4 linked regions of the Struthio camelus genome follow. The protein of the gene in region 2 purifies or fractionates together with the protein of the main gene of each other region. This does not show direct contact. Links are inferred from orthologs where the notes say so. Each region holds a gene or a part of one and is shown on either strand. Other genes may lie near its edges. The genes, in order: COP1, JUN, CREB5 and NFE2L2.

Region 1 (7,368 bases), about 29 Mb from region 2:
AAGGATGTAGCTTGTGGTGAAGGGACCAGACCGCTCCCAGATACCAAGAATTTTTTTTAAGGATCAGAACTTTTTTGATACAATGGTAAATGTTAATATTTTATTTTCCTGCCTCTCCATTTCTTAAAATGGCCAAACCGCTTTTGTTCAGAGTCTCTGCAATTACTTGGAATTAGGCCAAGGGCTAATGCATAAAGTTCCATCTGGAAGTGGTAAAGTGTTGTTATAAAGAACTGAAAAAAATCCTTTGCTAGTAACCGTGCATAACTGTAACTATAATAAATATCACTAAGCACCCTAAGTTGAGGGGAAGCCCTCCACGCTGGGTGCCAGGGCCTGTCTGATCATGCCCTCCAGATCCCCACATCTCTGGGTCGGGCTTCTTGAGTTCAAGTTTGGAAACTCATGTCCAGGTTTCTCCCAGTAAATAGGGGAAGGAGGGTACCTAACAGGTAGAAACTGCATCTTCTGGATAGCTCTGCTGCAGTTTTGCTCGAGGAGAAGTTGCTGACAGCCTAATTTTCAGATTTATGGAGCATTAAGAGTTCTCATCGACTCTGTAACCAGGTGAGGAATCCGTCCATGCTTCATTTTCTTTGGCTAGAAAATGGGAGAAATGGCATTCCTGTCACTGGCTAGCTGGGAGGTTAAAGCTCTCTAAAGCCCTCTGGAGCAGCAATTCCCAAGCCAGGGGTGGCAGGTCATAGCAGCGTTTGCAGCACTGCTGAGTGGACTAACAGACCCAGTGGGAATTAGGTGGCAGCAACGGCCTCAGAAATGGAAGCGTACGGAAGCGTATGGAAGAGTAATTTCCATAATGAGTCACTGGCAATCAGGAGCCGAGCCTGGAGGGGACTGTCACTTCCCACAAACATCTGGCACACACACCCTTTGACGTGGAAAAAGTCGCCGTCCCCCTGGTGACCACATGCAGCATGTTCTCAATTATTTCTCTGGCTGGGCTAGCAGCAGGCATGAGCACTGCAACTGCCTGTTGTTGTAGGTGAATGGTAAATGGAGGTAAATGGAGATGTTGTCGTAAAAGTCACAGACTCAGGGTTTATAACAAGTAGGATTTATGTACCCAGAAGGGCAGAACCTATATTGTTCTTAAGGTTCCTTCAACTATAGACACTATCTGTCTATTCCTTCCTTTAGAGCTGGTGCATCCCTCCTCGCACAGGATAAGAACTAATACACCACTGTTCAGGCCATGGTCAGCAATCAGCTTTGGAGGCTGGAAAATAGAACCATGTAAGAGAAAAGTCTTCTAAAATGTAGAGGCTCTGCACAGATTTCCAAAACAGGAAAGTGCAGGAGAACGTCTCTGTCATATTGGAATTTACTTCAGCTAGGTCTGCAGAGTGAGTAATTACATCTGACCAGAGGTGGGAAATGTCTCTTTCACAAAAGCGATCACTAGACCTACGCTGGCTTGGTACAATACAATCAACTGGAGTTTCAGAGGTAGAGGAAAATCTTTATTATGGTGTTCCTGCAGACCGACACCTGCAGCCAGTCCCCCAAAGCCCCAAACAGTATCAGCCTACTGTGTGCCGGCACCCAAGAGCTATTATTGAATTCCTTGCATTACTCCCAGAGTATCGCTGACAGTATGCACGTCTATTAGAAATATCAGTTTCATTGTATAAAACAAACTCGCCACTAAAGGCTAGGGCTGGAGACAGTTTATCCCACAGTAACTGTCTATTTTGTTTTTTCTCTAAGTTTCAGGGCAGTGACTAACAGTTCTTGTTTACTGCCTGGGCAAGAGGTGCTTGCCTTGCTGTGATCCGCATGCCTTCAAAGGCACACAGGCCCAATGACTAGTTCTTGAGGAGGACATACGAGGGTAATATCCAGATTAAGTGAGGAAACACAAGCAATCCATTGAAGGCAGGTTTGAATCTGAACAGGAATCTAGGAAGAGTGTGCAATATAAGGGTGCGGATATCTCTGCACCGGGCCTCTCGTCACCGCACTAAACCCAGCACCATAGTTTTGCTTAAGTATGGGATCTCAACCATGAGGCAGCGTAAGCGTCCAGCATGCTGCTAACTGGAGGAAACAGCGAAAAACCTCTTACAGCTAATCTATAATATTTTCCTTTTGTATCTCTGCCTTTGAGCCTAATAACAGCGTTGTCAATATTTAGACGGTAGTAAATTAATTCTTAGTGCTCATGTTGTGCTAGCGGGGACTGGAAGATAACCGGCGCTCCACAGCGCTTGCTGTGGTGAACTTTAAAACCAGGAGACTTGCCATGCCCTTTATTCCAGCACAATGCACAGGTGTCGCCGAGAGGTAGCATATAATCTTCCCTTAGGATGCATAAATTGGTCTGGGAACTGGTACTGCAAGGTAACCCCAACAAAGAAACGTTTCGGATGCAGGAGCCAGAGGCTGTTCAGTATATATCAGGGCAGAGAAGAGAAGGTCTTAGCTTCAGGGGCCTCCGAAAGTCCACAGTGAACTCCTAAAAGCTCGAGTATTGGGGAACTGATCTTTTGGTGCTGTGTGCTGGGTTTCACACTCTCTACCAGCCGTGGGGGTGGAGATGTGGCTGTTGAGCCTAACTACACATGGGCAAAAGTGGGCATGATTTGGCCCCTCCATTTCTTTCATATTTATGTTGGATTTCCACTTCTGAATGTTTGATCTTTAAAGGCTTTTCTCTGCGTCATTTTTTTCTCCCTGGAGCTCAGAAAGTAACATGAAGTACCAAAGAATAGCTAGACTTTTCAAAGACCAGCCAATATTTCACTAAACATGAAGCATGTAGACGTGTTATTGCCTATACTACTACTACTGCTACTTTGTTCTTCCACTGGAAAATCTGACAGTCCTTTGCAGACACTCATCCACAAAGCTTTTCCTCCCTCTGGAAGACAAGGACACGGTGCTTTTCTTTCTCTTAGCAAAAGGAAATATGAGGCACACAGACATCAACAGTTGGGCTCAAAGAAAGGTATTTAGGCACTTCTCTTTAACTCCCACTGAAACCAGTGGGAACTGATGTGTTTTAATGACTTTATGGAGTTAGTCCTGTGACTTGCCAAGGTCAGGAGGATATTTATAGAAGGTAGCGGAACAGAATCTTTTGCTTTGAAAAAACACACCAAGAACTACAAACAGGAAACTTTCAATTGCAGCAGCACAGGTTTCAATTACAGAAGTGACTATAATGGCACGTTATCTTGTAGAGGTGAGGCTACTAATCTGAACGATAAGGAGAAGCTTCCTTAGAATTTCCTGGCTTGCACTGATTTATTCTGTACTAACATTCTGCAGACAGACTGTTTTGGTTTTGTTAGACTGTTTCTGGGTGTGTGGGGTTTTTTTTTGTTTGTGTGTTTGTTTTGCAACATTAGGGGTAAGTACACAGAAGCAAATACCTTAAACGTATTTAAACAAGCTTGGAAGGGCAGGTCAGTGACAAGCCCTCCAGGACTGTCCGTGTGCATCAACCCCTCCACATTCAATCCAAGTGCTGTGTTTTGCTGCGCCCTTTTTGGGAAAGCCAGGCGTTCCCGCTGCTTGCCAGAGACTTCTCCGGACCAGCAATGCCTACCTGCAGCCACCTTTTTCTCTCAGACCAGTTTTACCAGCTCTCCTGCTGGTTTTACGCCTGACTGCAGGTGCGCTCGGCCACCTGCGCTCCCAGGACTGCCGCAGCGCGGATCTCTCCGGGCGCTTCCCAGGACCTGGCCTTAGGATTACCCGTCCTCAGGGAAAACGCCCTAGACTTTCAGCAGCCACCTCGCACATCTCTGGGCAGGTGAAAAGCTGACAGCAGACAACAGGCTTGATGTAAAGCAGGCGGGATGCTTCTGGGGGAGAGAAATGAAAGGAGAAATCCGGTCTCTGCCCGCAGCTCTGCCTCCTCGCCCGCCGTCGGGCCAAGCCGAGAGGCGGCAGCGGCCTGTCACCGAGGCCCCTGCCTCAGGCCGGGCCCCGCCGAGGGCCCGGGGCTGGCGCCGACGCGGCCCTCAACCCCTGAAGGCAGCGGGGGGCGGGTAAAGGGAATTTGTTTCCTTTTATAATTCGTGAGCTCCCGTGTGGAGACGGTGCCGTCCGGCGGCGCCGAGCAGGCCCTCAGCACCGCCGCCGCCGCCGCCTCAGCGCCGGAGCAGGCCCCGCCCGGCGGCGGCGCCGCGCGCATGCGCGAGGCAGTGTTCGCCTGTCAATAAAGATTCAACAAGAGGCTAGCGGAGAGGGAGCACGCGCGGGCGTGGGGGCGGCGGCGGTTCCCTCCCCCCCCCCCCCCCCCCTTCTTTGAACGAACTTTATTGTTCCCGCGGCGCCGCGCGGGGATGCGCTGAGGGGGCCCCGCTCCGCCCGGCCTCGGCATGTCGGGCAGCCGCCCGCCGCCGCCGCCGCACCCCGCCGCCGCCGCGCCGCCCGCCGCCGCCGCCTCCCCGGCCGCCGCCTCCTCCTCCTCGGCCATGGCGCCGGGCTCGTCCTCCTCCTCGGCGGCGGCGGCGGGCGGCGCGGCGGCGCGGCCCGTGCTGGTGGCGGCCGCCGTGTCGGGCTCGGGCGCGGGGCTGGCGCGGCTGGCGGCGGCGGCGCGGCCCGGCGGCGGCGGCGCCTCCTCGGCGGGCGGCGGCGGCGGTGGTGGCGGCGCGGGCGGCGGCAGCAGGAAGAGGCCGCTCCTCGCCCCGCTCTGCAACGGGCTCCTCAACTCCTACGAGGACAAGAGCAACGACTTCGTGTGGTGAGCGCGGGGGAGGGGAGCGGGGCGGTGTATCGCGACATAGCGGCGACACGGCGCCCCCTTTCCCGCGGGCGTCGCGGCCTGCTGCGCGCGGCCGGGCCGCCCCGGGGCCGCCGCCGAGAGCGCTGGCCGGGTCTGGGGGGGCCCCGCGGGGGGGCCCTGCCCGGCTCGCCGGGGTGGAAGGTGTGTTGGGGTCTGTAACTGTCCTGCAGGGATTTCTGGCTCTCCCCCCTCCTCCCCCGCCTTGTGACTGTGTTTGGTTGCTTTTTTGGCTCTTTGTATCAGTGTTGTGATGCGTGTGTGTCTTTGTTTTTTTTTTTGTTTTTTTAAAAAACAAAAACAAACAAAAATTCAGGTTAGTCCCAGAAGGTTCCTGTCTCGTTCGGCGGGTTAAGCCTCAGCGCAGCGGAACTTGCGCTCGTTGGAAAGGGCCTGCGACGCTAAGCGGTTTTTCATAGCCTGTTGACATCGCAAGCAAATGTTTCTTTTTTCCTTTTTTTTTTTTTTTTTCTCCCAGGCAGTGTAGCCTTGAAAAGGACTAGAGCAGCTCCAGCCTCTTGCACGTGCGATGGCCTCTCTGGAGGGAGGCTAGGTCTTCTTACTGCCCCTTTATGACCTTATGAAAAGAAAGAGTCCTCAGAGGACTTCTGTGCTTATGCAGATGAGGATCTGAAAATAAGTCCCCTGGTCACTGATATTGGAGGCAGTTAATAGTGCTCACAAAATTGGCATGAGTTTTTCCTCTGTTGCTGGGAAAGGACAGCTAACTTGAAGTAATAATAGTATTTGTATCAGGTATCGATCTGTCATCTAAAACCAGATGAGTAGAAACTTTCTGCGATGATGGGATAAAGATTTTCCTTGAAGCCATTCAGATGCTGTTTTTCTAATGTTTGGCCAAAACTGTATGTTGTAATTGGTAATAACTTTTCTGCAAAAGTGGTAGGCCTCGCTATATTTGGTTTGAGAGCTGTTGGTAATATGCAGCTTTAAAAAGATGCTATTGCTTATGGGCTTCAAACCTCCTGACATAAGGAGTAAGTTTAATTTTATATATGACTAGATGTATATTAAAAACGCAAGAACAGAAAATGAGGGTAGGTGGTAGCATCTGAGAGAGATAAACACTGATGAAGAGATATTAGAAACAAACTTGTTTTATTGAAAAGTCACATATGTGAAAGAAATGATTAAAAAGAAAAGTGGATAAAAGTAGGTAACAGCTTCCAAGACCGTCTTGTTTGCTCATTCTAACTTTTGGATGCAGATTAGGTATTCGGCATCTCCACAGGAGAGGCACTCTAGCAAAACCTGGCAAACTTGATCTTGCAAACCTTGTAAACCCTATAGGAGACTAGATGGGAAATATAATCCCTGTTACTAGAAGGAGAACCTGAAGCTGCTGAAAAGCTAGTCACCGAAAGAAGAGCAACAAGCAATAATCAAGAATTCCTCCTTACCACTGTAAGTAGTGGTTTGCCCAGTAGCAGAATTAGGATTAGAGTGTAGCCTTAGTCGGCTGGCTTCCTGCTCTGCCTAAATGCTAGGCCATGATAAGTGGATTTAGGACACCTAGTTTGGGAGATGGTTGTATTGTTGTTTCTTGCATGTTTTCTGGTCGTGGGAGATAAGTGTCCCTATCTGTTTGCCTCCACTACAGTTATGCTCTGGCAGTAGTGGTGTGCAATCATTTCCTTTCCTCTTCTAGTCGGTTTTCACTTAATGTTTTCTTGCTCATAGAAATAAGGGAGTTTGAACCAGGGGGAAATTAAGTCTAGCGCAATAAGTTCTTTTCTTTTTTTTTTTTTTTGATGACAGTTGAAATGTTTTAAGTCAGTTCAAAAAGCTCAGTTTCTTAGTTCTTTTTTTCCCCACAGGTAGGTTCTGTGCAAACTTCAAAAATAACGCATATAATTAGCTCTATTCCTCTCGGTGAAGAGTGTTGCTGGCTGAACAAAGCGTGAGAAGAAAAAGTTAACAGAATAGTGATCTGGGCAAAACTTTTTTTTTTCTTTCCCCTCTCTTCTTTTTTCCTGTCTCCTCCTTACTGGTGTTCACAAGAGAACCGTGCTGGGCATATTTGCGTGCAGATCAGCAGCTTCAAGGGCAAATAGTGATTATAGCTCCCTTGTCTGGTCCTTCATTGGCATGCACTTCATTGGGCAGTGTAGCTTCTTCTTCCTTATGTTAATGTTAGCTTCAAATTACAGCATTACTTTTAACAAAAGTTATTTTTGAGGTAGCATTATATTTATGCAGTATAGAAATAAAACTCAGCTGGGTAGCTTTGGAATTTTGAGCAAGGTCCAAGAAGACAGGTGTGTGTTTGTTTAAATACTTGATTTAAATAAGCTTTGGATATTTCAGTCTGAGAGGCAAAATTTTCCCGTCTGCCATCCTCTCTATAAGGATACTTTCTGGACGCTGCCTGCTGCAGGGAGCACTCGATAATCTTTCTGAACACAGGCTATGAATTACTCTTTAGTGTTGCAACTGTAAACACTGTGATAGGTTCTGCCTGCATCAGACTGAAATTGGGAAAGAATAAAGAAGTTCGTGTGAGTTGTGTACACGAAAGCGCATGTGGAAATACTGCAAGTAGTGTTAATGTGCACAACCTGTCTGCCTGTTTCTTGAAACTGCTCTCTCAGCAG
Region 2 (6,389 bases):
GGGAAAAGCCCTAAAGTAATAGCTGTTTAATAAATTAGGAGCCTAGTCACCAAAATTCCCAGCTCCTTGGCTGATGGCCACGAAGGATCACTGCCTCCATACTCACGGGGCCTACTTCTGTTTTGTGATCTGTGGCACTGGGAGAATCTCAAATGGTAAAGTTGGCACTTAGCCGAAATCTAAGATGAGACTTCTGTCTTCAGCCAAGCACCTGGTCACCAATCGTTCCCACATTAGACTCAAAGAGGTGGAAAATCCCCTCAGAACAAGCAGCAATGAAAATCTGTCTTCAATTCCAGAGCCTCCTGCTACGCACAACCTTTATGACCAACTTGAGTGCCTATTGCCAGCCTGGACCAAACAACCCCTAAGTGAGTAGCAATTAACATAATGAGTGGACTGATGAGCGTCCCGCATAGCTACAGGCCTCAGCAGCAACATGTCCCTAGCAAACTGGAACGTCTAGTCCTGAAACTCCACCTTTGTAAAAGGAAGGCAGTCGGAAACTAAAACGGGTGGGGGAAAAAAAGAAAAAGAAATTAAATGACTTAAGTGAATATCTCCATCCCAATCCAACACTCACTGAAGCTAATGAAAACCTTGCATTGATACTGGGGGGGGGCTGAACTGGACCAACCATAAGGGAGTAGTTTTTCAGATTACACACAAATTTATTAAACAGAGCAGTTAAAGCTACAGTGACCACACTCCAGATTTGTAGTCTGGACTTGGCTTTCTAGGACAAAATAGACTTACAGAAAAAAACAAAAACACAAACTGAATAGACAGAACTCTGACAAATTAAATATGTCAACAATTCACTGGAATGAACTTAATTAGGATTATTTGCCTATGCCAAAAACTGACCAAAGCAAATGATTTGCACAGGTTTCCTATGTAACAGAAACCAGGGGGAAAAAAAAAAAAAAAAAACTTTTCAGCTTAATTTAAAAATTATTCTTATTCCATAATAAAAAACTGCCACACAACAAACTACTTAAAATTCCTGTCTTACCTTTCTCCAGAATTTCTTCCTTGCACAGACAAGCCCTTTATAAACATCCAAATTGTACACTGACACAACACAGAGAGATCATTTACAGTATATCTCGGGGGGGAGTTTTAAAGCAGCAAGAACGTAAGGACAGCCATATCAGGTCCAACTAGATACCCTATCTCTTCACAGTGGCCAGCAACGGATACCTAAAGAAGCATATAAAACCAGGGAAAGCACACAGCAGTTTTGCCTCAGGATGCTCTCACAGACACAAGTCATTTGCAGCTTTGGGGTTTCCAGAACCAGAGACGTATTGCATTCAAGAGCCCTTAAGGGATTTTTCTTCTGCAAATTCATCTAATCACTTTTAAAGCAACGAAAACCTTTAGCATGCCAAGGAGCTCCACAGCTTAACGACGCATTCTGTGGAAAAATTTTGCTGATTTGTTCTGAACCTACTACCTGCCTACTACCTTTGATTTGATGCCCCTTGGCTACTGGGTCAGAAGAGTCAGCGACTGGCCTCCATTTATCCTATACATAAAGATTAAAAAGGAGCTAAAGAGCTGCATTAATGAATTTAAGAGATTTTCTTATGCATATGCAGTAATTCATGCTGTTTTGCAAAACAGTATGCAGCTGAAACTACAGTGGTAGTCGAGTTGTTCTGCGCAACCTGCCACGCAGACATGTTGCCTACGTGAAGATAGCATGTATACCAACAGCATACAGAAGGCCACTAATTCAAGGGCAAACTTTGTAATTTATACTATGGATTGTTAACACAAACGTACTAAGAACTGCAACTGGTATTTGCATAAAGCCAATCAGCTTACAAAGTAACAACAGTGCTGACCATGTGGTCAAATGTATATACTGACTGAAATCAGGTGGGAACACTAGGGGGAAAACAGCAAAGAAAAATAAACAGCAATAACTTAAGAACAGTGGAGTTATATGTTCACTTTTATTTCACAGCTGCTTTTGCTTCTGTTTGTTTCATTATTGTTTCCTATACTGTAACTGGTAATTATGTCATTACGTCTAGGGGAAAAAAAAAATAGGACAGAAGAATTTGAAAGTGTATTTTCAAACCTAGACATAAGTTTGTTGGCTTTACATACTATAAAAAGTGATTCAATTCTGCAGACCACCCTGCAACAGAAAACTTCTTTTACAAGTGTAAGGAACTGCTGCACCACTCACATGATACTGTACACCTCTTCAGTCCCTGTCCTACCCTGTATTGTCACTGTCCATCCTTAAATAGCAGCTGCACTTTATCCCAGAGGTGGCTGCATGTCAGCTTTTACAAATTCACACCACCCGAAGAGAAGAGGGTGTGCGGCAGGGTGAGGAGGGGGAAGGTCAGGAAATGAATTCAGGCAGTAAGGCACACCCTTTTATTAGAGAGATACACTAAACTAATACATGCAAGTCTCTCATAAGACTAGCTACGATAAACTAGGTATTAGCCAGCTGTTGCTCTAGAAAGAGCATGTCAGCACAGACTTGACGCTCCTTGCTTAGGGCCCTTCAACTCCCCCCCCCCCAACCAACCTGTACTTCCACAGTAATATTAGGACACTCTAAAATTAGGCTGTCGTTGTCCCCTCCCCTCGGAGGATGAGTTCAGAGAAGCCCATCTGGAACTAGGTTTTTTCCTTGTCTTTTTCGTTTGGTTTTGTTTTGCCCCCTCTATCTTTCCGGCAAGTCCTGAGCCCAGGAATTGACGCCACCGACTAAGATAATGGCAATCGCGCCCTTACTTGCATCCCCACCTCTCCCCCGCGGCCATCACGAGCTATTAGACAAAACGCGCGTAACCGCGTCGTAGGGCTAGTGGCGGGCAGGGCCAGGGCACGGGGGCAGGCCGGGGGGCCGGCCCGGCCCGGCGGACACCCCTCCGACCGCCAAGGGGCCGTTCCCGGGCCGCAGGGGCCCCCCGCCCCGTGACGCGGGCGGCCGAGCCGCTCCCGGAGTCCCTCGGCGGCCGCCCTCCCCCCGGCGGCGGCGGCGGCTCGCGGGGCCCGGCCCGGAGGCGAGGCCGCGGAGGAGGCGAGGCCGCGGAGGAGGCGACGGCGCGGCCCCGGGGCGCCCCTCCGCGCCGGCAGGGCGGGCCGAGGCGCTGGGCCGCGTGGGCGGCGGGGAGCGCCGCAGGCGCGTGGGCGGGGGCCGCCCCGCGGCGGTTTGTGCCCTCCGCGGCCCCGCGCGCGCAGCCGCCTCGGCCCGGGCGCCGCCCCCAGCCCTGCCTGGAAGCCGCCCGGGCGAGGGGACGGCGGGCAGCAGGGGAAATCACGTGAGGGTTCTCCCCCCCGCCGCCGCGGAGCACCGGGAGCGCCACCTTAAGGGCCGTACCACCCGGCGGGGGAGGGCGCGGCCACGGCCAGGGGCCCCGCCGGCGCAGGGCAGAGCGGCGGCCCGCCCTCACCCCGCCGCCGAAACAAAACACAAGTCTAAAAAGCGGGGGGGGAGGGGGGGAACAAACGGCGGTTTAACAGCGGCGGCTCCGGCGCGGCGGGTAAGTCGGTACCTGCCCGCCGCCACCCCCCTCCGGCCCGCGGTTGGTACCTGACCGTTAAGGAGGCGCCCCCGCCCCGCCCGCCGCCGTCCAACCCGGCGCGAGCTCTGGGAGCGGGTAACCAGATATTCAAAACAATACGTCAGCCCACAATGCCCCGAGCCGCCGCCAGCATTACCTCATCCCACAAGGCCCCGCGCCGGCGCTGAGAAGCTTCTAGGGGCGGGGTGGCTATGGAGACCGGTTGATATGCAACAGGCCGGGCCAGCGGCCCGCCTCCCCCGGGAGATGCGGCGGCAGCCAATGGGGAGCCCGCGGGGTGACATCATGGGCTATTTTTAGCGGGTTCCCAGTCGCTGATAAGTGAAGGCTCCACGCCGGGACAGGGCTCAGAGCGCGCGGGGCGGGCGGCAGCGCGGCGCCAGCGCGGAGCCGGGTACGGCACGGCACAGCACAGAGCACGGCCGGCAGCGGCTCCGCCGAGGGGAGCGAGCGGCGAAAGGCGAGGGAGCTCCTGCGCCGGGGACGGCGGCTTCCGCGGCCGGGGAAGTACTTGTGGCAACTTGTGGCGGCGGCGCGGCGCGTCCCGTCCCGTCCCGGCGGCGGCGGCGAGCGAGGCGCCCCGCGGCACTGTTCCGTCCCTCCCCAGCCCCGCGGGGCCAGGCGGGCTCCCTGCGCGGCGGCAGCGGCGGCGGGAGGGGGCACCAGCCCGCCCGCGCCCCGGCGAGAAGCGGCGGCGAGCCGGGCTGCGCCCGCTGCCCCGAGCCGCGCGTGGCCGGGCCGCGGAGCCCGAGGCAGCTGCGCTAACGCCAACTTCCTCTGAGCGGGACGCGAGCGCCGGCGCCGGCCGAGCAGCTTCTCTCCGCTGATCGCAACTTTGGTACAACTCCGCGGACTGTGTTCTATGACTGCAAAGATGGAACCTACTTTCTACGAGGATGCCCTAAACGCTACTTTCGTGCCGCCGGAAAGCGGCGGGTATGGATATAATAATCCCAAAGTGCTGAAGCAGAACATGACTCTGAACCTATCCGATCCTTCCAGCAACCTCAAGCCTCACCTGAGGAACAAGAACGCAGATATCCTCACCTCCCCCGATGTCGGGCTCCTCAAACTGGCGTCGCCTGAACTGGAAAGGCTCATCATCCAGTCCAGCAACGGGTTAATCACCACCACTCCGACCCCAACGCAGTTCCTCTGCCCCAAAAACGTTACTGACGAGCAAGAGGGGTTTGCGGAAGGCTTTGTGAGAGCTCTAGCCGAACTGCACAACCAGAACACCATGCCCAGTGTTACCTCTGCTGCTCAACCTGTTAACAGTGGCATGGCACCTGTGTCTTCTATGGCTGGCAATAATAGTTTCAATACTAATTTGCACAGTGAGCCTCCAGTGTATGCCAATCTCAGCAACTTCAACCCCAACGCACTCAACTCTGCACCTAACTACAATACAAACAGCATGGGCTATGCACCTCAACATCACATAAACCCCCAGATGCCAGTGCAGCATCCCAGGCTTCAGGCTTTGAAAGAAGAACCTCAGACTGTACCTGAAATGCCAGGGGAAACACCTCCCCTGTCCCCTATTGACATGGAGTCACAGGAGAGAATCAAAGCTGAGAGAAAACGTATGAGAAACAGAATTGCAGCATCCAAATGCCGGAAAAGGAAGTTGGAAAGGATTGCCAGGTTGGAAGAAAAAGTGAAAACTTTGAAAGCCCAGAACTCAGAGCTGGCATCCACTGCCAACATGCTCAGAGAACAGGTTGCACAGCTAAAGCAGAAGGTCATGAACCACGTCAACAGCGGGTGCCAACTAATGCTAACACAACAGTTGCAAACTTTTTGAAGAGACTGACTTGAATAAGAACTATGATACCGTGGTAGAACTAAACAGAAAACCAAAAGTGGCAGATACATAAAGCTAATGGTAAAAGCTGAAAGGTTGAGTCCTGCCTGTGCTCCGCAAAGCGCATGTGTGGAAAGACTGGCAAGCCTTCAGCTTGAGTTAGTAGTGAAGCAGTCAGCACCGCTCCAAGAAGTGCTGTTCCTGCTCAGATGAGACGTCAGATCTTCGTTTAACATTGACCAAGACCTGCATGGACCTAACATTCGATGATCATTCAGTATTAAAGGTTAAACTGCAATAGAAACTGTAGATTGCTTTCTGTAGTATTCCTTAAGAGAAAAAAAAAAAAACACAGTGGGAGGGAGGTTTGTGGGAGGCTGATCAACAACAACAAAAAAAGAACCATTCTGCCTGCCTTCAAGTAAATTGTGTATGTACATATCTTTTTTTATTTTATTTTATGAAAGTTGATTAATGTCAATAAACTACTTCATGACTTTGTAAGTTATTTTTATGTTGTTTATTTGGGCACTGCCCAGTATTGTTTGTAAATAAGAGGCTTTTTTTTCTTCCTTTTTTTAGCACTCTGAGTTTACTGTTTGTAATAAAGTATAATTTTTTAATGTTTCTGTTTCTGGAAAAAAATCTAGAAGGTTCTATTATATTTAAGAAAATAAAATAATTAAAATGCATTTCCCCCTCCCACTTTTTTTGCCAGTACCTGAGTCAGGAAAATACCCTTTATTCTGACCTCAAAAGGTAGGGATTACGTTAAACTTGTAATATACAACTACAGGCATGCCCTGGAGAATGTGTGAGGAGTAGAGGGAGAAAAAACATCCTGATCCTTAAAGGAATATAACCTTTTGAATCTTCATTATGTTGCAGTTCAGAGTCTTAACTTGATTAAACTGTTTGCCATATTCTAGTGGCCCAGTTTAGAGACCTGATTTAAAGTTAAGCAGGTTGGAGAAGGGTCAAATGCCATTGCATGATATTGCCCCATGCTGTAATAGTCTGAA
Region 3 (7,535 bases), on a different chromosome or scaffold from region 2:
GTAGCATGTAAGGAGGTGAATAAATTACTGTTCGATTAGACTATAAGATATTGCTAAAAAGTACTTGTAATGAGATAATTGCAAGTGCCAAAACTGAGAGTAATGCTCAATGCTGGCAGCAGCTTAGTTAAACATGTAGTTAATGATGTTATAGGAAGAACAGGTATGTAAAATATTCAGCTGCGCCAGCAGTAAATATTAATTTTATGTGACAGCAATAGAGTCTTACTGAAACCGATATTTGACATACAAAACTCCTATAATTATTTTAATATCTTTACTTACTAGTGATTTTAATGACATGACAAAGATTTTAGGTGTTTGCTGAAACAGCACTACTGTCATTTACTATCATTCAAAGAAAATGTCATTCTAATTCATTTCACTGCAAAAGTCTGAGTAGTTTTCATACCAATTAAGCTACCACTGTAAAGACCACATCCTTCATTCTGGATTTTAGGTTTTATAATTAAAGAATCAAAATGACAAAGACCTGTCTGGAAAACATTTATTAGAACATATAATACAGATAAGTATTTCAGTAGTGATTTTGCCATCAGAAGGAAGCAGCTTTGTAAGAGCCTGCGTATAAAAATAGAAAAGAAGCATATGACTTTATAACTTCAAATTAATTATGAAACAGCATTACAGATAAAACAGGTCATGCCTTATGTAGTTGACTGCTGAATACTTTTCATTACAAGTTTCTTCAATCACTTTGAAACATTACCCAGTTCTGAAACATTCAGGATGAAGTTTTCCATACTGGGTGTCTGCCTCAGGCTGCAGTATTTTGGAAAGCTTCTTCCCAAATTTAATCATTCCAGAAACAGTATTCTAGAAAAAATAAGTTTCTTTGCTTAACATTACTCCCAATCCCACAGGTTGCCTCCTGGGAACATATAGTGCTTTTGGAGCAGGAACTGCAGAATGCTCAGCTTGTTGTCACAGGATATGCCTTTGATTAACTTCTAACATTTGCTCAAATTTGTCCCCAATACAGAGTATGTTCTCAAGTTACAGCTTGTCAGCTGAGTCGTACATTCCTGATCTGCATATGTTCCTGATCTGCCGAATAAAATATGCTAATCTAAACCACCTGTATAGGAGTTCATGTTAAAGTGTTGCTCTTCACGTTGACAACACACAAACGTGCATCAGCTCAGCTGGAAAGCAGCAACTTTGCAGGCAGGGAAGTTCCTCTTGTCATATGATCACCCCTCCGTTTGCAGCAAGGAAGATCTCAGCAATTACTGTTTTCTGAATGTTTTTTCTCCGCTCAGCATGGTCTGTCCTAAGGCTGATGGGACCGATAGAGTCTTAACTCTCCTCTACGACTAGCTGCTCAGCCACCAGGCATGAAAGCGAACGTAAAACAAAGCAAAACCAAGCTCTTTCACAGTCCTGGTCAGAGATCAGCGGGCAGTGAGAAAGTAGACAGCTTAGGATAGAGAGGAGGTTGGTAACAGGCAGAAACAGGCAAGGAGAGAGCTGCAAGAGGGATGAGAGCAACAGCAGCTGATGGCGACAAGCGAAGAAGTTAGGCATAGGAAAAAGCAAGGATACGTGACAAATATTGCAGCAGATTTACAAGAGGAACTGGAGCTTTCTTCGGCCCTCGTTCCCCTCCAGGACCTACAGCTCATTTCAGAAGTCAAGAGTCTTACCTCAGGGCTTGAGACTCATTGCAGGAATCAAGAATCTCTCTGCTCTGCTGTCAGCAAAAGCCTATGATGTAGCCACCTATCAAAGCACTGGTCATCGCCCTTCCCGGGGCTGGCAAACACAAACTACTGCTGCAAGTTACCCATTCCTTTAAGTGGTAGAAATCTGTCCAAATAGGTATGTGGCACATACAGCTATTAATCTGACCTACGTGGTGCTCTTATTTTTGAAATGTCTTTTTGCACAACGCTCTGGACAAGGTGAGAGACATGGAGAATACTCAGGTCAGGAGCTTTCAATACAAAATCAGTAAATTAAAGCACAGTGCACACTCCAAGAGGGTCCTATTATTTACTCACTATAATCTGTGTTGAAGTCACCTAGAGTCTAGAATATCACTAATAAAAAAGCATCAGCAGTTATAAATAACACGAGTTATATTACAGATAACATCAAACAATGGCTAACACTTCCTTTAGCATTTGGTTTGCTTTTACCTCTATTTTGCCGTACGTGATTCTTACTGCACAGATATCTGGACCCTACTATCCTTGAATTTTCATTCATTACCAATTTCACTCTGGTGTCACGGAGAATCCTGGCGAAAGAACTGCGCCTGCTGCGGGAACAGCCATAGCTTCCCACACCGTCGCGGCTGCCTGTCTGTAAAAAAGTGCAAGTACATAAATTGTGTGATGAAATCTGAATGAGAGACACAGAGCTGCTTCCCGCACTTTTAATCTTTTTGTCATGGCCTTAAATAACACTGCAGGGCTTTCTGTACGTTAAAACACTTCCCCTGTTGCACAAGGAGCTGCAACTATTAATTTAGTCATCTTTGTAGTTTATAATTTCAGAATGTTTAGAGGTAAGGCATTTGCAAACCTTGGCATGAGGTTTCCAAGGATAACGCTTGACAAAATGAAGGCTTGCAGCCACAGAAACACTGAGCCTTTACCATAAGTAGTTAAATGAGTTCAAAACCTATCATCAGTGATAGGATCCGTTTCTATCTGCTTAAATCCTGCATAAAGTGCCAGTGAATTGTTAAAAGCTGAGAACAACTGTTAAAAAGCCTCATAGAAATAACCCTGCAAAGGAACGGTATTATTAGGAGTAATGTGCTGTATTATTGCCATTTGTAAAGCAGTTCTGGATCTTGGCAATCTTATATTAATTACTCTCTCCTCTGCTAATTGAGTATCAGAAAGAAACAAACTGAGCAAAACATGTGCAGATCCTGAGACCCTGCGCAGACACGCAGAGGTTTCCTCTTGACTCATCCCCAGCTTGGGTGCTAAAACACTGCATCAAAATTAACTCATGCTTGCTGGCGTGAATCAGCAGTTAAACACAGCTAATCACCACGTGTGTTGTTGATAAGAGTATCTCCCAGATAACTGCAGCGCGTACAGCTCGCTGCCAGAGGAACCTGCAGACCAGAGGCACCGGAGAGGAGTATCAGGCTGAGAGTTATGAAGTACTTTACAATAAAACGCAGGCGAGGAAGGCAGTGAACTATTTCTAGGGTGGAATAATAAACTTGTCTTTGGTCATCGCCCCCACATGATTAGGAAGATATGCGTGCTGGCGGTTGCACGCCTAACATTAAGCGTTTGCAAAGCAGCGAAATGCGTCGTTAGTCCAGGTGAGCCTCTGTCCCGCGCAGCGGCGGTGCCCCGGGGTACGCCGTGGCGCCTGGGCCCTGCCGGCTGGGCACCGCGTGCCTGTCAGCCCGGCCCGGTGTGGGTGCGCACCCTCGCAGGGCTGCAGCTCTGCTGGCGCAGGTTGTCCTCCCGCTGCGACTTGGTAGCCGTTTCCTAGGTCAAAAACTAGTTAACGAGTTAAGTCTCCGCTTAGCGCAGGCCTTGCTGGCACGGGCGGGCGCCAGGCGAAGAGCAGCCACCTCGGCAGCGCCCGCATGGCCGGTGGGCTGGTCCCCACCGCCCGAACGCTGCTCCCCAGCCAGAGTCCCAGTAGCAGATCCCGCTCCTCGGTCCCAGATCTCTCGTCCCTGATCCCCAGCGCCCGGCTCCAGCGCTCCAGTAGCAGAGTCCCAGCGCCCAGAGCCCCAGTAGCAGATGCCCAGTCCCCAGCTCCTCAGGGCCCAGTACCAGATCCCCAGTCCTAGGTCCCTAGAGCGTCAGATCCTCAGTGCCCAGTCCCAGAGCCCCAGCCCCACATCTCCAGCCACCGCTCCCAGATCTCCAGTCCCCAGATCCCCACTGCCTAGTCCCAGAGCCCCGCTCCTCGGTCCCAGATCCTTCGTCCTGGATCTCCAGTGCCCAGTCCCAGCGCCCCAGCAGCAGACCTCCAGCCCCAGGACCCCCAGTCCCCAGAGCCCCCGACCCTCAGTGCCCAGTCCCAGAACTCCAGTCCCAGATCCCCAGCCCCTGGTCCCAGATCCGCAGTACCAGATCCTCCCCCACTCCTTGCTCCCAGCCCCCGGTCGCCGACCCCCAGCCCAGGTCCCAGGTCCCCCGCGCAGCCCGTCCCGCCGCCGCGGGGCCACCGGCGCAGAGCGGCTCCGCCCCGTCCCGCCCCGCCCCTGCCGGTGCCGCCCCCGGCCGCGCGGTGGCGGGACCCCGCCGGCCCGGGCTGCCCGCTGGCCCCGCCCCCGCCCCCCGCCGGCCCCGCCCCTCCCCCGCCGGCCCCGCCCCCGCCGGCTCTCCCCGCCGCCGCCACGGGGCGGGACATTGTTTCCAGGCTGACTCACCCCCTGTCACGGCCCCCGCCCCGCCCCTCGCCCCGGGGGCGGGGTCGCCGAAGCCCCGCCCCCTCCCCGCCCCGCGCGCTCGGCGCGGCTCGCCCCCCCACCCGCCCCGGCACGGACCGCAATGATTTAGAAGTTCAGGAATCCCACGTGACGTCACGGAGGGTGATGTAATGCTTCTCTAAATAGAACGTATTGTAACCTTCCCTCAGTCCAACGTGGTTCCTTCAGCCGGGCTGCTGGTCCCGTCCCTTCGGCACTTGTGCGGTAAGTTCCTAAAAATACGGGGCCGCCCGGCGCGCGGCGGTGCGCGCAGCCCCGCGCTCGCACGGCGCGGGGCAGGGATCCCTGCAGGCGGCGCGCCGCCGGCCACCGGGAGGCTGCGGGGGGCTGCTGCCGCCGCTGCCGCTGCCGCCGGCAGCATCCGCTCCGCAGGCGGGACTCGCCGCCGCTTCGCGGGGCTGCAGGACGGGGCGACGGCGCGGGGGCGTGCGCGGCACCGGGGTGGGCTGCGTGCGGGGGGCCGGCGGGCAGCGGCGGCTCCGGCGGCCGCTCCGCGTCTCTCCGCCGTGACAGCCCCGCTCTGCGCCCGCGCCGCCGCCGCTTCCCCCGGCCCCGCTCGCCGCCAACTTCTGGCCAAGTTTCGGCGCGGCGCCCCGTGCCGCAACCCCGGCAGCGGCGGGGCGGGCGGGGGTCGCCGGCGGCGCGGCGCGGCGCGGCGCGGTGCGCGGCCGCCTGCCCGCTCTGACACATCGCTGGGAACCGGGCCGGTCCGGGCCGTGACGTCATGCTGCGGGCCGGCGAGCGGCGGCGGGGCCGGCGGCGGCGGGGGGCGGCGGCGGCCGAGCGCGCTGCCCGGCCGGCTCGGCGGCCCCGCCGCCCTGCTCCTCACAGGCGTCTCTCTCTCCTCAGCGAAGTTCTCGGGACGCTAAGCGCTGCTGGAGCGTAAGGGGAATACTTGCTAAACTGCCTGCTCTATTATTTATGTCCAAGCATGGTGAGTGATCCTTCATCCCCAGGGCGTAACGCGAGCGGTACCGTCGGGAGGAGAGAAGCCGTGCAGAGCTGGGGGTACGAGTCGAGCCAAATGAACGTGCCGATGTGCCGCGTGAAAGCCGGAAGGGTATTAGGAGCCCCTTAGCCAGGCTAGAAGATTTCCCAGGTTTTATCCGTAAGAAACAGCTAGCCGAAAGTAGAGCTTGGACGGAGGGACGGTAATTTCTGAGAAGCATCTCGCTTTGGGCTTTCCTGGAGACCCTGCAGTCCTCCAAGAGACGCTCGCCCGCCGGCTGGCAGCAGGCTGTCCCTGCCCGACCCTCGGGAGAACGAGCGGTGCGTCAAGCGGTGGAGGAAAAGTTTCTTGTAAGGAGCTGTCATGCAGAAGTAAGCCAGAAAGCAGACTGAAAGAATATTAAGGGTTGGAGGGTGAGAGCCGAATGCAAAAACGTAACGTAATAACGCGGGGATTTTGCTGAACGAGGCACGCTGTTGTAACAGAATGGTTGATTTTCAGTAGAAAAGGGTACGGTGTTGAAGGTCCCCGCTTGGCGTTTTGTAACTTTCGTGTGGTGAACGAGGTGGCCGGTAGCAAAAAGCTGAAAATTCTTTAAAAAAAAAAAAAGTCTAAAATACTTGTTTGTGACTCCTTAATCCTAAGGGAGCTGTACAGGTCGCAAAGCACTGGGGAAAAGTGTGATTAATGATCAGTGATTAGTGATAAGTGATTAGTGGTTTTATTCAAACTGTTACCTCTGACCAGAAGCACACATCAGAGGATTAACAGGCTCTTTAGATAAATGCTCATTAGTGGAAGGGGGAAAGCAAAGATAATAGGCAGGCACACAGGGACAACTTTCTAGGAAAATCACTCCTGTCTCTGGAATAATAAGCTCTATTAGCAGAAAGGCTCTTTAATTTAAAAGTTGCTTTTATCTTGTAAATCAAAGTTGGATGTAGAAGTTCGCCGTGCTATTATAGCCTGAATTTTCCCATATCCACTAGATGTGGATTATCTCAGTAGTGATATTTTACCTAAAAAAACAATTGCTTCTTGAAGAAACTGAACGTTCATAAGCGCTCAAGCCCTGCATCCTAAGGTACCCACTTCTGCCAGGCAGAGCAAAGCCTGCTGGCAGCTAACTAGATGGCGCAGTCCCGTTCTTTGTGACTATATAGTCCTGGGTTATGAACTTAGCAAGTAGTAGCTTGCTAGGTGTCCTTCAGCACTTAACACAAAGTTGGTTCTGTGCTGGGTTGGAGGCTAGACAGTTCTACAAGTTTTTAGTCACATTTTCCATGTCAGTTAATCTAGCGAGTTAAAGGCTACTGGAAAAATTAGTCTCATTTTCTCAAAGAGACAGTGAGAGAAAGGAGGGAACTAGAGAGCGGCAAATAGTATAGCCAGGGACCTAGCCCTTGGTTGAACTGTTTTATTCTGATTTACTAAAATACAGTTCTGATGGCCTTAATTACTAAAGCCTAAAAGCTCTCAGTAGTTTTTCTCCCAGCTATCATTGGGAAAGGTTTGTTGTTTTTTTTTTTTAAGTCACTTGAAAGAAAGAACAGTTGGTGTGGTGGTTGAACAAAACAACTTGGACCTGACTGTACTCTGCAGATAATGGTAAGGAGTCTATTTTTGTGATAACTAATCAGGGATTTCTCATTATTCTTTATCACACGTGAATTGTGAAGGACTAGTATCTACTGCTGTCTATAGACTTAGGTTCTTTCAGCCTAAATGGGATTTATGTTTGTTTGCGTATATGGAGATCATCAAAGTTTCAAAACTTTCAATGTGTATTTGAAACACTTGAGTGAAACAGGAAACAGAAATAATGAAGTTATGGCATGAAAAAGAAACTGCTCAAGTCTCCTATTGTTACATTTTTTTAGTAGGAGACTGTTAGGAGGAATCACACTAATGTTTAAAATTAAGAAGTTTTGTAATATCGTATATAAAAAAGGCAATGAGCTCTGTCTGCTACTCTTGAATATTGGATGGCACTCTTCCAGAAGTTTAAAATTGCAAGATTTCTAAAACTTTACACATTTACAACAATCAGAATGCTCCCCCCCCCCCCCAAAAAAAAATTCTTGCATAGTATAGCTTCAGTTTATTGAACTCTACCTCTGCGAATTTAACCTGGGGAACATAAAG
Region 4 (7,267 bases), on a different chromosome or scaffold from region 2:
GAGTGACATTCTCCTCTCTGGCTCATTAATCTCTAGAGCCAGAAATATATACATATTTCCTTTTTCCACCACATTCGGTCTGCCTTTAGCTGACTGGCCATTTCTGAAACAGCAGCTAGATCAGGGCATTCTTGCTCAGTATCTCTCTGCAGAAGATCGTTTGGCATTCTATTTCATACGCTCCAAAAGTAGCCAGGTTGTCCTAAATTGTTTAATCAATGTGTATTTTAGCAGGTAGCTTTAAAATAACACAATTTTAATATAGCGGATGTGCCTTCCAGGGGCTGAATGCTATGGAGATTGAGTCTCCCTCAACATCTTAAAAAAAAACAAAACAAAACAAAAAACCACGTTGTTTGAAAAATCTAATTTTACTTTTCCACAGTTTACTTGGCTAGTATAAAAATGCGTGGTTCCAATCCCAGTTCTGGTTGTGAACCTTATCTAGTCTCAACATTCGTGATGAGATAGATTAGTGAAGTAATACTACCACTTGATTAGAACTGAACACATCAACGTATTGAGTCCACTCCTCTTTGAGTTAAATACATCTTTTAGGTTTAGATAAAAACTTCTGCTCACATTCTGAATCCCTCTTTCAGCTTAACAGAGATATTTATTTGCTACTTCTTTACTGTATCTTTCATCAGTAGGATTACAAAACGATTAAGTCGCACTTATGTGCGCAAAGTTAATACACAAGTTGCATAATGAAATTGGGAGGCTCTGGCAAAAAGATGAGATTGTTTTAGAAAAGAGCGCATTAGCCTGCATATTTGTTTGTACATGCTTGATGCATCAACAAAAATCTGCCCTGCTGCCCCAGCAAATAAACTGAGTGATTCTACTGTGGCTTACTTTCTAGCTGCTGTACAACCACCACGTACTGGACACATCGTGTAACTCCATTTTAAAAGGTATTCAAATAGCAGCCATCTCAGACAGAAGTCTGCTTCATTTCAGGAAAAGTTGGTCTTAATAGCTTTATTTGTTTTTTCTCCCAAGTTAAACTCAAAACTGCACCATAACAAAACTGGCATTTATTGAATTTGGTTATTTTTACATGAAGGGCCAGGATTTTTTACTGTAAACAAATAATACAAAAAATACGTACTTGAATTTAACCAGCATCTAAAAATACCACTGACCTTTTAACCAAAGGAACACATAAGCCTTTGCATCCCAGTCCATTTTATATATTGAACTTATGGTATTTGGAAAACAATTACCTGTTAAATGATTATCTTCAAGCTATCCTGCCGTACCCTGCCAGGCATGTACTGTGTGTGGACATTGCCACAGGCTACCCATTAGTTTATCTAGGAGAGGATTTGTTTATAATAATGGTTCAGTCATCTGGGAAACATGATCCAGTCAAACAATAGCATGCTCTTACAGCCAGCGAAACACATCAGGAAGTAAAAAAGATGAACACAGAAACAGAGAATGGAATCTAATAAAATCGCAAATAATCTGTTTATTAGGTTATATTAACCTCAGGTTATAACTTCATGGCCACTGTTTTAATGTCACTAGGATTACCCACTTTTTGGAAAGGCATATTTCAAGCCAAACATGAAAACATAGTGCATTTGTTCTTAGATCAAAATGTTCTCAAAGATTATTTAGAATCTTAGCTGAACTGCACATTGTCACTGCACCGGGATCTCTTACTACAAAGCCCCTATTTCTAGCTGCCATTTTGCTGCTGGCTGGGCAGGTCGCGGGGACAGGCACCAGATGGGTTATTACAGCTAAACTACTGCCTGGGTGCGGAAATAGCGTGTTCTAGTATTACAAGAAGCATTTCTCACCAAGTTTCACTTCACTGATCTCACAAGCAACTTACTTTTATTGCTGTTGGTCGTGGGCAAGCAACTGGAATATCAGTGTGGGTTAGAAGAGCGTTGAGGTTTACTAACTGTATGCCAGCACACATCTATCAGCCCTCATTCAGTAACATACATATTTACTTCATAAGGCTGAATCAAGGACATTCTTCCATACTTCCAAACTGAGCTGACAAAGAAAAGAGCAAGCATGCTTTTAAATGAAGAGAGCTCACCACACAAACACCTCACGAGCCTAGAAGTATTATCTTAAGAATAAAAGCTTAAGAATAAAAAGATTAATAATTGAAAGGAGTTTAAAGGAAAAAGAGAGCAGAGTTTGTTTTATATTAAAAATACTCCACTAAGAGAACATTAATGAGGTATGCACACTTTTAGGCACTCCAACTGGGCAACAGAAAAAGCAGACAGAGAAAACTGACATAAGTCATAAACCCCAATACCCTTTTTATTTCTGAGACAAACTGGACTGTCATCCTGGTCCTCAAAACAGCCTGCAATTCACGGACATGGACACAAGTGAGAAATGTTGCCGTTCTATTGGGATTAGTAACTTTGAAGTAAATTCACTGCTTTAGGAGTTATGTTATTTTTAAATGCAGCACTGTAATGTTTTCTACAAACGCAAATACAATTTGGACAACAGAATTTGCCAATGGCACTGATATCTGATACATCCACTCCACATAGTCTTCTCAGGCAAAAGCTCTACATTTTCCTCCTCTTTTTCTTCTGCCTCTTTACTTTTACAGTACAGTCCTAGAAAATGAGCCAATCAGTAACGCACATAGTTACTGCACATAGCACACAGTAACACATACAGTAACTACATAGTAACTTTGCAGGGATTACAGTTTGCTCCAGTGGTCAGTTGTGACATGCTCTGTGTACCCCAGCCCAGATCCAGCAGGGTATTTAGAGCCTACCCCCCGCTGCAATCTGTGGGGCACAGGTGCTTTAATTCCTTTGTGGATCAGTCTTGCAGCTAATGCATACTCTTCACATACATTACTTTTATACATATGAATGATGGGAATTCAGTGCCAGTGCACAGTTTTGAATACAGAAATAAGTAGTGTTCAATGTAATACTATATCAGAGAAATAAGTGGCAACTATGTATTTCTGATTGCCCTCAAGCATATGATGAAGGGAAAAGCTCAGCACAGCTCATTTTCCTTTTTTTTTTTTTTTTAAATAAAGTGTTCAACTTCAAATACACTTAGACAGGTTGTTCCATTTCTGTGGAGGAATAAAAAACAGGAAAAAAGCCGAAAATACATTGCTATTCGATTGCTCACATTTGACGCTACAGGACCTTAAGAGATTTGGGAAACAGGGTTCCCTGTGTGGCAAATTTTTGCTATGGTGACAGTTCATCTTTCAAAACAAGTAATTCATGATTAAATGGTTTATTTATGCACAGCCTTCACTAGTGACATGCTTCAATTTACTATGCACAGCTTTCATTAGTGACATGCTTCAGTTTCAGATAAGCATCATTAAATAACTATATTGTTCAACTGTGCACTATCGAAGTAATCAAAAATGTTCTTCCTAAATTTACAAGAAACAGCATAGAAATCCTTACTAACTTTGTACAAAATGAGTTTGCTCAGCCTCCCAGCTTCCTTCAGCCATACCAAAATACATGATGAGAATTGTTTTTCTCTATAATGAGGAAAGGTCAGATTTTCTTTGCTCATTTTCTTAAACACTGAAGTTCACATATCTCTCAGTAAAGAACAATCCTGTTAAAAATTATCAACCCTTCCTCACTAGATTTTTAGAAAGCTCTTATACTTAAAGGCCCTGAATGGTTAAAACCATTAAACCAGAAAGGTCAAGAAAGGCACAGCAGATGTCCAAGCACCAATTTATCATTTTTGTCTACGATGACAGCATTTGCATAAAGAAAAGGTAAACCCAGTTAGGAACTGAGTAACGCTATTAGAAAGCAAAGCTTTGTTTCTGTGTTGTGCAACCCAACCCTTACTTTTTGAAGTCCTGCTCATTATTCAATTTATAAATCGAAAGCAAAAGGGGCTAACTCATATTCCAAGACATGAACCAAAGTAAACTGTTTCATATTTCTTACCAAATTATATAAATGCAATAATGCTTGAAACCCTCCAGAGAACAACAAACCCCCCTAAACTCAACCATCAATAACTCACTCTTTCCACACAAATCAACAGCCTCTACTTCCTACCACCTTACTTGTGGCCTCCTTGTCTGCCTCTCGCGTAGATAGGAGTCTCCCTGCCTCCTGGATCCTCCTGGAGTCAGCTATGTGGCTTTTCCACTACCATAAAAGAAGTCAGTTATGACAGGCCTGCCTCTTTCAGCCTACTGATTAAACGGACAGATGTACCTAGGAAATCAAGGTAGAAGCCTATTCCCGATGTGTGTCCCCTCACACACTCTACCAGCAGCTATGATAACCAAAACAAGACTGTTTTCTATGAATAATAAACATGTCAATATACCTCTTCCATCCATAAACAGTAAAAATTTTCCGTGCATGTCAAGATGCTTAACAAACCTTCAATATTTGGGGGTAGAGGAGGAGAGGAAGAAGAGAAGCCTATCCAGTTTGTGAGTATATTACAGAAAATCAAGAAACTTTAAATCCAAAGCAACTCAGTGCAGTCTGTTAAACATTTATTTTTAGTTAATGACTTGGTCTGTTATCTGAAAAATGAACTGATCTCTTGGACGTTTATAAAGCAATGTATTTACACAATACATGTTAACTTAGTTAAGTTCAAACCTTAGACACGTGCTGGTTGAGTGCTACATACAAACAGTTTAAGAGGGCAATTCAGAGCATTTCAGATATTTTCTAGAGCTGCAAATTTTATCTCGCATGACCACCAGCTGCAGTTTGATAAGGCATTCCACAGTCGCTTCTGAAAGGAGAATGTTGGACTGTGATAAAAAAAAAAATACAGGTTGCCAAGAGAATTAGGGAAAGAGCTAAACTTCCTTTTTCCTTCAGACTTTTAATTATTCTGTATTCAGTGAAACAGCACAGCTAATCAACTTCTATCCTGGCATAAAAGCAATCAATATTTGAAAATAGGAATTGTTTTTATCTTCTCAGCTTAGCTGGCTTCTTACTCCAGTCTACATTGTTTCTCCTGCACCCATATCATCACAATAAATTTTGGTGAAGAACGTTTGATTAATTGCCCTTTGAATTCTTTAATGCTTCTTGTTATGTGAGCCAGATACCTTTTCTCTGTTCCTCTTCTCGTCCATCACGAAATTCCCAGTTCAGGAAGGAAAGAGGTGGTGTTGGTAAGCCAAAGTAGACTCTTTCTAATGGTAGAATAAGCCTAGCAACAATGTTCAAAGTTTTTAATTCATTCAGTTTGTCCCTTCTTTTTTGCCTCCTTTGCAGAAAAAAACACCTTCTTCCTTATATCTAGGGATTCAAGGAAGTAGCTTACCCCTTTTCCTCTAAGTTTCTGTATGACGACTTTTACAGCTGGGTTTTGAGGAGAGCTTTACTAGCTGCCGTTTGAGAAAGACATAGGTATTTTTTTAAAAGTTACCCTAAGTGGCATAACAAAGTGAAAAGAAAATCCTTTACAAAGATCCCATTTCAAGAGCAGAAGGGGTTGAGAAGAAACAGACTTACCTTGCTGCCTCTGAAGAAAGTGTCTAATCTCTAAAGGCAGGGTGAAACATCCCAGCACACTGCAGGCGTATCTATCAGCAGCTGAAGGACAGCAATTTGCTGATGTATGAAATAGAAAGTAAGTGTAACTGTCCTGAATATCTGCTGCCAAATTAAAGTTTGTGTGCTGAATCCCCTAATTCGATAAAATAAATTTATTTGGCAGACTGTTTCTAATATCAGCATTTACTGCTGATTTTTCTGGTAGAAGGCAATATTAATTTAATTGCTTTCCAGACAGAATTAGAATCAATTTGTTAAGCAAAAGGAATAAAATTAATCTGTAGATGACCGCTTAAAATCTACAGTAAATACAGAATTCAAAGAATTTCAGGTTTGGATCCTGGCTGAACAGTTTTCTGTCTCTGACAACTGGAAAATCAGACTGAAGCAAGCTGTCAGTAAAAAAATCACAAAACTCCAAAATTTCTCTATAGCACAGTAATTCACATAATGAGACACAGATATCTTGTTAGGGTAAATCACTATTCAGTCAAATATTAAGTGTTCATTCTGTCATTACTATTTGCATTTTATAAGACCTTGTTCATCATATATGCCACATATACACACATGATTTATTAAATATACTCATCCTCAGGTTTATTCCACTTTGCATTTAAAATAATTTTATGTCTCTGATCTTAGTAACACAGACATTTTCAGGATAATCTAAAATACTTCAGTGATTTGTTAGATCACCATTATAGTTTCATTATTTAAGTGAGTGCCATTCTTCATTTTGCCAACAGAAGAAACTGAGACATGATGAGATATGTCCACACTGGTTATCAGATGAGCAAGGATTCCCGAGAGTGGTTTGCGCAGACTAGATTCCTGAGGTGGCAGATGATAAAGGACCACAGCTCCAGCTGGAGAATGTTCAGCAGAACTACAGAATTCCACCGAGTCACAACAATTTATACTAGCTGAAAAACTGACACAACAGTTCTATAAGATTCCAGTTCATATATCCAAACTGAATTAAAAATCACAATATTAAAAGCCACTGTACAGGAATTCTCTGTGCTAGAGCCTACAAAAGTATGACACACCTCAACATGATACGTATTTCTACAGCCAAGAATTCAGCTTAAACAATTTGGAAAACCAGCTGTCAGAAGTTAGTATGACTTAGTTTCAGATGTCAGCTCTGTTTTATATATTATACTATTTTAATAGTACTAGTTTTGCTATTAAAATACTTCTGGTTTCCATCCTTAATTTCTTAATCCTATTCATTTCAAAAGCTGGGTTTTTATTTTTACTTATTTTACAAATATCAGTGGAATAATCTTCCAAAAACTCCTCAGCTGACATACAGTCCTGGTTAATGCCTCTCTACACTAGAAAAAGTAATAAGTGCAACTATAACTCAATGTTATGAAACATTTTTAAGAAATATATCCACACACCTCATTTCAAATAGTTCACAGAAGATCACCCGAGGCTCTACAATACACTTGCTCCAAGGACATCTCATGACTACAATATCTTCATTTGTATAAGTGCCCCAGTCACTACTTCTGCAACATCGGTGAAGACAGCCGTTAGTGTAATAAGCTATGGTGGAACACTCTCACTGACAAACCTTGGATGACCTCTGCAACTAAACTTTGTGTTTAGTTCCAGGGATAAAGCTTCTGAAAAATTGTTACCTGTCTAAAGCTGACCTGCGTCAACCTTCAGAGGCCTTTACATATATTCTCTCTTTTGTCACCTTTTTGCCCATC

What was found.
Region 1: the proteins of JUN (region 2) and COP1 purify together in Homo sapiens (affinity purification with western blotting; 9 studies listed by BioGRID and IntAct, counting the BioPlex papers as one, with this or other methods). This does not show direct contact. The link is inferred for Struthio camelus from reciprocal best matches to the Homo sapiens genes JUN and COP1.
Region 3: the proteins of JUN (region 2) and CREB5 purify together in Homo sapiens (affinity purification with mass spectrometry; 5 studies listed by BioGRID and IntAct, counting the BioPlex papers as one, with this or other methods). This does not show direct contact. The link is inferred for Struthio camelus from reciprocal best matches to the Homo sapiens genes JUN and CREB5.
Region 4: the proteins of JUN (region 2) and NFE2L2 purify together in Homo sapiens (affinity purification with western blotting; 4 studies listed by BioGRID and IntAct, with this or other methods). This does not show direct contact. The link is inferred for Struthio camelus from reciprocal best matches to the Homo sapiens genes JUN and NFE2L2.

The regions. Positions count from the first base shown.
Region 1 is NC_090949.1:5,435,645-5,443,012, reverse strand, and holds the start of COP1 (E3 ubiquitin-protein ligase COP1), read left to right. Parts: upstream 1-4,349; coding exon 4,350-4,714; intron 4,715-7,368. UniProt on the Homo sapiens protein: E3 ubiquitin-protein ligase that mediates ubiquitination and subsequent proteasomal degradation of target proteins.
Region 2 is NC_090949.1:34,117,738-34,124,126, reverse strand, and holds JUN (transcription factor Jun), read left to right. Parts: upstream 1-3,913; 5' UTR 3,914-4,422; coding exon 4,423-5,367; 3' UTR 5,368-5,875; downstream 5,876-6,389. UniProt on the Homo sapiens protein: Transcription factor that recognizes and binds to the AP-1 consensus motif 5'-TGA[GC]TCA-3'.
Region 3 is NC_090943.1:39,813,271-39,820,805, forward strand, and holds the start of CREB5 (cyclic AMP-responsive element-binding protein 5), read left to right. Parts: upstream 1-4,518; 5' UTR 4,519-4,645; intron 4,646-5,290; 5' UTR 5,291-5,362; coding exon of another isoform or gene 5,363-5,372; coding exon 5,373-5,375; intron 5,376-7,535. UniProt on the Homo sapiens protein: Binds to the cAMP response element and activates transcription.
Region 4 is NC_090947.1:20,389,142-20,396,408, reverse strand, and holds the start of NFE2L2 (nuclear factor erythroid 2-related factor 2), read right to left. Parts: upstream 3,006-7,267; 5' UTR 1,940-3,005; coding exon 1,850-1,939; intron 1-1,849.